Mytilus edulis: one gene and its partner. The protein of the gene in region 2 purifies or fractionates together with the protein of the main gene of each other region. This does not show direct contact. Links are inferred from orthologs where the notes say so. Each region holds a gene or a part of one and is shown on either strand. Other genes may lie near its edges.

Region 1 (3,762 bases), on a different chromosome or scaffold from region 2:
GTCATGCATTTTCCTCAGTTCACGATCAAAATAATACGTTGTCTAATCTTTCACGATCAAGTCGATGAAAAATCAACAAAATTCAAGGTTTTCATGAACAAATGAACGGTTTCAATGGAAGAGCATACATGTACTTTTATTTTGGTCACACCAAAGATTAAGTTTCAAATATATCATGATATATTGGAATGCGACCATAAAAGGTACAAAAATTCGTGTGATTTTTTTTAATGAATCCCTTAGACATGTATTGCGCCTTTTGTGTTTTTCTCATGAAGTACTGCATATTTTCTTTATCTTCTTGCACAGTATTGTTGATAAAGTTGAATCATTTTGACAGACATATTTGTTTTTTCTGATTTATTCCGCGTTTTAGTTTTTTCCGGCCACATATTTTGAGGTAGAATTTAAATTTGATTTCGATCTGGTACCAGATCTTTCACGATCATGGCCAAACCAAACTTAATGCTTGCCCACCCTAAGGTATTCAGGCTTTAACGATCAATTCTCTCGATAAACCGAATGACACCCGTGATAAAAAATTAACATATATTTTCAGAGATATCATATATTCTTGATCCTAATCATTTCTAAAAATAAGCAAATTACATAACTTTAAACAGAGACATATAAAAACCAGATTTTAAATATGTAATTACATGATCTAACCTCCGGCAAAATGAAATACAATGTAGACGTTTATTCCCAAATTTCAGTATTGTCCTTTTGAACTGAGATAATTATAAACAGTTATCTAGAAGTCCCAGTTTTACAACTGACTAGTAATGTTTTTTGTTTATATGCTACTTGACTTTTATCTTTTAGAAAGAAATTGCATTTACATGCAACGCCTTTCTACAAAATGAATGAAACCCAAATTCAACGGATTTCGGCACATTTTCAACCATTTATTTTTTAAAGAGTCAGTATTGCAAAATTTCCAGGGAGAGCACACAAATATTCAAAGATGATGCAAACAAAAGTCAACTTTAATAAAAGAATATAAAATATATGACTAATTAAAAGCATGTGAAATTTCCCCAAACATTCGTCTTCAATGTCCTTAATTCAATGTCATATATATATGTTTTAAAAAATCAAATTTAATCCATTTTAAATATATCACCAATATATTTCTTTTATCAATGAAGTATTTAAATGTTAGTTTTTATTTAAAAAAAGACTTCTCTTTATAAATATGGAAGCTGGGAGTTCTATATCACAATCTCTGTGTTATAGTCGTCTCAGAAGAAAAATACGTCTCACCAGGTATGCTACGACTCTGTACAATAGTTAACAAAAATATTACTTTTCATGACCAATCAAATCGCTTCATACATAAATTTCCCGCCAACTTTGTTTACCTTTCTTTATTGTGTACATCCTACTGGATCATTGAACATAAAACAAGGGAAGTGTCCGTACCAAGCGTTGTCATAACTGGTTTAAGATTATATGAAAGTATTATTGATGATTAGCAAGCACTGAAACTAACTGTCCAGATAACAAATACGGTAAATAACAGTTTCTTTATGTGGCAGAAATATTTTGACTCATCAGATATCATCAATGATCAGCGGGTTGCAAAGCATTTTTTGATCTTCTGTCAAAATATTGAATCAATTGTAGATAATTGGTCATTGCTATTTTGTACTTCTTTATGGGAAAGCGTTCATCATCGTGATAGAATTCCCAAACCGAACAGTGGCATGATGGATATGGATGTTTGATTAATGAAAGGGGGCACTGAAATGTGATATTGAAATTTATTGTTTCTATTAAAATTTCAGGCTAAGGAATGTCTGCAATTGTTCAGAGAAAATTAGAATTTCCTGTAAGAAAGTCAACTCGTCTTAGAAGTTCTAAAGATGCAGATAGTCAAGAAAATTCAGTGAAACCAGAGTCCCCAAGAAAAAGAACAAAAGAAGGTATATACCATGGATGTGTGTAAAACTATATAAGAAAGACGATGAATACTTGAAGGTACAGGATTTACACAGTCAGTTCAACAGCCTGTCTGTCTAATGGGGACAAATTCCTAAGTTGATTGTCCTTCAATACACCATATCGCTATTTAGTCCAATTCGGGAAAAACAGTCATTTATACATCTTGCTGTTTGGGTCAAGCCACTGAAAATAGAGGTCATTAGTAGTGAGCTGAGGGAGGAAAAACTTTAGAAAGCGATCATCTAGAAACTTTGATAGAGTATGATCCTCTTTTTCGAAATTAAAATTAAAGTAGAAAAATATTTTGTTTGAAGTATTTACAGTAGTTTAAAAAGGTCTCATTAAAAAGTATCATGCATGGTGAATTGTTTAAACAGGGTCCCAGATAGCTTAAACTGGATGAAAAAGTTGTGTAATTTTAGAACTTATCCGGAATGGAATGAATAGCTATTAGGTGTATTGTCAATGATTGAGTTAATCATCACAGGAAAATGCTAATCAAAGTTTTCCTAGTTATGCCCCTCAGTGTTCTCCCCAGAAATTTTGGATAGCATCACATTTTGCGTAGAAAAAAATAACTATTATTTTTAATGTCGTTGGCGCGTTGCGTTGATGCTCTATTTCCTTTATATGTTTTAGTTTATATTGTTCAATTCATAACTGAGAATACAATTAAACTATAACTACAAAAACAGTTGTTTCAGTTCATGTTTTCTTTATTCATTTATAGTTACAGAATTTTTTTTTTTCCTCTTGTGCCAAATAAAAATAAATATGTGTTTTCAGTTACCCAACAATAAGTCATCGAAAAATGCCTGTACCAAGTCAGGAATATGACAGTTGTTATCCATTCGTTTGATGTGTTTGGACTTTTGATTTTGCCTTTTGATTTTTGATTTTCCTTTTTGAATTTTCCTCGGAGTTCAGTATTTTTGTGTTTTTACTCAAATGAATGAATGGTTCATTATAGATCAACCTGTATATATACAAAACTAAATATATAGTACACAAAATTAACTATTTTTATATTATATCAAGTAAAGATAAAGTAGCAAAAAAAAAATCAATTTAAAAACTTTTTTTTATCATGTTTATGAAATTCATTGTTTCATGGCACTCAATGAATTAGTCCCAGTTGTTTCTTATCTTTACATCAAAATGATATGTATTTTTAACAAAGTTATCTAACAAATAGTCTGTTAATGCGTAGTTTTCTCTCTTGGTATATTTTTTCTGTCTACTGTCCATCTGTTGTCATTATCGTGAAAATGCGGATTTTTGTCATATCTGTTCCGGTTCCGATCCGTAGTTTACACACTAATGTGCAATGGCGGCCGTAGAAAAATTTACGAAAATTAGTCCGAGAATAAACATTGTTTGACAAGAGATTGTGAATGAATAAGACGCTTTTAATGTATTAAATGGATTAAACATAAACTTAAGCCAATTATGATAACTTTTTAAAGAAGTATTAAACTTATTTTAGCTCTAAACCAAAATTCTCGCTCTCGTATTACCGGAAGAGAAAGAAAGTAATTTTTGGAGAGTTGCACAAATAAACGACCTTTTAAAAAAAAAAAATCGTTTCAATCTTTGAAATTTCGTAATACAAAACGTAGATTTCGAATTGTTTTGTGATTGTCTTGTCTTGGCGAAATTGGCGATTGCAGACACGTGGTATTAGTCATGTCACAAGTGTCAGCTTGGGATATTCGCATCCAAATAGTTATCACCCTGAGGGCAATTAACAGCTATTTAATCTCTTAATTGCCTTTAGTGTCCGACTTAAAGGGATTACAATTAAAGGTGATATAA
Region 2 (3,762 bases):
AAGTCTTTGTTTGTATTTACCATTTTATCATATTTCTGTTGCCAGAACATAAATGCTGCCACGCCTGATCCAAGTTCAGCGCCATCCTTCAGATACTGGAATATCTCTGTTTTATCTTCTGATTCCAGTAACATTAATGTCCTAGCTACACATACATGGATATTTTTGTCTTTTGTCTGAAATAATCAATATTCAATGTTAAAGGTTATTGATTCAATTGTGTCATTTGATTTATATTCAAAAGGCACATTCAGTGCTGATAAAATAAATGTTTTACAACAATAATTTTGTAGAAAGATACTACCTCATTGACAATTATCGTAAATCAACATTCATTCATATTTGACTTATTTCCCCTTTTGTGTCATTAACTCAAGAAAAATAAAATGCAAAAAATCAGATTTTCCAAAATTAAAGCAAGCTGATTATATGTTTAAAATGTCCATCATACTTTTCCCCATACTTAAAAATGGTTTGAAAGGTGTTTCACAATAATTAAACCTTATGTCATGAAACTGTAAACATCTCAGACCATTGTCATGAAAATTTCAGTTAATCCTCTGGTCAATTTTGGTCGCAAGATTTTTTTTTAGTAATGCGCTGCTGGTATTATCATTCCTTACCGTTTTAATAAAATCTTTCATGTATTTGAAGACACATTCTTTGCAGCAAGCACCATTAACAGACCATGGCGGTCGTATAAACAGCCATGTAAAAGGATCTGTGTTTGGACTTAGTCCTTCAATTCTACAAAATATATCTGCTGCCTTCTCTCCATTGTTGATGGTCTTCTTTCCTTCCAAATCGGTAGGTACTGAAACAAAAAATTAAATCATATATAATTAAGCTTTCAAAGTATTATTTCATTATCTTTTACTATTAGCACACAAAAAAATTAATTTGTTTTCTTGATTTGGAATTGTTTCAGAAACCAGAACAGACCGGTATGGTATTTTTGGTCAGAGGAAATAGATGAGGCAAAACTAAAAATTATGTGTTGATTGTCTTTAACCTAAACTATAATATTTATTTATTTAGTTTTTCAAACCCTATGTGCATATTTCTTAATTATAGCTTGTACATAAAAACAGCTCTACCATATTGCTTTTCTTTTTTAATCTAATCATGAATTGTTTGTTTAATTGATTTAAGTTACATTTTCTTTTCATCTGTTCATTTTCTTTTGTCAAAACTCTGTTTGTTATAACAAAAAAATATAAATGAACCTGCTATTTTACGTCATACATTGTACAAGTTTTTGTCAGAAGAAATTAACACCTTTATATATAAAATCAACAAAGGGAAGACAAATTTACATGTTCATTTCACACCCCATGTCCTGCGTAAACAAAAAGGACAAATATATAAATAACTTTGTGATAAAAAGGTCTACTTACATCCTTCATTATAGAGGTAGGCAATGGCCATTTTGATCAATGCTTCAAGATTTCCCAAATCTCCAGCTCTGAAAAAGAAACGAGGGTTTAATATATATACAGTGAATCACTACAGCATAATAATTTTAATAGAATAAAACTAAATTATGAACTTGAAACATCAAAATTTCTTTCTATTAATCTATGTTACATATATCTTGAAATGTGTATTCATATGCATACTCTGTCATTTCAACCAGAGTATAGGGGAATGAAACAACATCATCATGTGTAGGTGTAAAAATAACTCATTGCATTGCAAGTCTTCATCATGACAGTTGCTGATGCAGTGTTTGTACTCAAATTATAAACTAGTTCAATGATACTTACTTCTCAAAATGTGGAATGTTTTTCAGTGACGGCCATTCATCTTGAAAACTTGTGGAATTCCAGATCACAGAACTGTTTTCTATTAAATCTTTAAAGTATGGGTGAACCTGGGGAAAGAAAACACTAGTTATTTCAGAACTACTTAAATTGTTATTATTTGTTTTATGTGAATTAATACATAAATATTGAGTCAATGTAAGCAAAATTCTATGCATTCTTACAAAATGATATGAAATTGAAAAATAAATAATAAAAATATTTTGAAAATTTAAACTAACTCTTAACTAACTAAAGTTTTGTGACATGTATCTGAGATGAAGCAGACTATTTGTTGTTGTACATAAAATTAAATCACAATATTATAAAAATATACTTTACTTACAGCTCTCAAATTAAGAACATCTCTGATGTGTAATCCTTTAATAATATACAGCAAAAGTTCTTCAGGTAAATTCCATATTGTCATCTGACTCCGTGTTCTTGGACGAAGATGCATGTGGACTGGGATAAATGTGTTTGGAGACTTTTGAAATTTGCTGAGTGCATTTAGAACTGTAAAAAAATAATGAGCATACATGTAAATTGGTTACAACGGGAAATATGCATGCATGTAATTTAAGTATTAAGTGATTTTGCTGTAAAAAATAAACATTCATAGAATTCTAAAACTTTAAAATTTAATTTTAGCACTTGAATTACAAATGTACAGTAAACATTTGATGCATTTTCATAATTTTACAATGTTGCTATATTTTGATTATGAATTATAAAAGTACTTACGAATTTTTACAAACATGGTTTTCATATAAGGAATGTCAGTTATGATAAAGTTCAAATAAGATCCACATCAAGTATAAGTTATGCAAAATTATCATGAATGTTGAAAGTTTATTTTTGTCATTGAAACATCGATACCGTGAACCTACCATTTATTTTTAGTAACAAGCAGGGTGTCCCCGCTTTTGATTGGTTGTCAATGTAAACAAGCCGGCACTTGCAAAGGTCGATAACCAATGAGCGATTTGAAAATAAACGTGTTTCAATGACACTAATGAATGCTATTCATAATTTATTTAGCACAAGTCTGAACATATTCATCGTCGTATACACCTGTTATCAACTAATAATTAGATAGGTAAAAGTGTTTGATACATGTGATAACAAGAAATCAATAAAACAATAAAATTGTTCGATGAATATCAAACATGTTTATCATTTTGTCTTCGACAGTTCGACTGGACTGGAGCCAGTGGATGTCAGTTCACAAGTTTTCGTCACTTAACATTCTATATTCTTGCAAATGGCACGTCAAGTATGTTACAATGACCGTCAATCACTTTGTTTACCATTTAAATTTACGATAAGCCTACTCAAATTTGGATCACAAGCTGGACCCTTCCTGCATTTGACTGCTTGATGAGTAAACAGAATGCACTCGTCTTTGATGGACTATTGTGATTACTTAAATCTTTATATATCATTATATGGATACGAAGAAACATTTTCATTACCCGAAAAAAATGGATTTTATTATTTTTATCGTGAAAGTTGTAGAGTTCAAATGTTATGATGCATTTTCAGTAACATCGTTTATAACAAAATTAATTTTTGAAACACGCCTTGAAGAAACCGTTATTGAATAGCACATTTAACTCTTCTTTTCCAAAAAGATCTATTTTCTTATGTTGTTATTACTTTCCATTGACAAACTTTCAAAAATTTAAACCGCCCATAATATTTGCCCTGTTATGACCTTTCACTTTCTTTTCTTTAATTTTTATAAATGGCATTTTTTATTGAACATGTAACTTACCTTTCATTACTCTGAATTGCTATAAATTTCATAAATTTAGGCATAAATACGTTATCCAAAAGTTTAAACTCCGAAAAAGTGATGCACCCTATCTTGTCAAAATTAAACACCAACAATCCGAATATACTCGACGCTGATTGGTCAAAATTGTTACACTCGTTTACAAACGAGAGGAAATGGGCT

Evidence for each region. Proteins that work in one complex are often made in the same cells at the same time.
Region 1: the proteins of cyclin-F-like (region 2) and cell division control protein 6 homolog purify together in Homo sapiens (affinity purification with western blotting; 4 studies listed by BioGRID and IntAct, with this or other methods). This does not show direct contact. The link is inferred for Mytilus edulis from reciprocal best matches to the Homo sapiens genes CCNF and CDC6.

The regions. Positions count from the first base shown.
Region 1 is NC_092357.1:50,690,355-50,694,116, forward strand, and holds the start of cell division control protein 6 homolog, read left to right. Parts: upstream 1-1,348; 5' UTR 1,349-1,514; intron 1,515-1,790; 5' UTR 1,791-1,798; coding exon 1,799-1,928; intron 1,929-3,762. UniProt on the Homo sapiens protein: Involved in the initiation of DNA replication. Also participates in checkpoint controls that ensure DNA replication is completed before mitosis is initiated.
Region 2 is NC_092352.1:40,408,388-40,412,149, forward strand, and holds the start of cyclin-F-like, read right to left. Parts: upstream 2,704-3,762; 5' UTR 2,572-2,703; coding exon 2,547-2,571; intron 2,319-2,546; coding exon 2,149-2,318; intron 1,874-2,148; coding exon 1,767-1,873; intron 1,466-1,766; coding exon 1,398-1,465; intron 815-1,397; coding exon 624-814; intron 177-623; coding exon 21-176; intron 1-20. UniProt on the Homo sapiens protein: Substrate recognition component of a SCF (SKP1-CUL1-F-box protein) E3 ubiquitin-protein ligase complex which mediates the ubiquitination and subsequent proteasomal degradation of target proteins.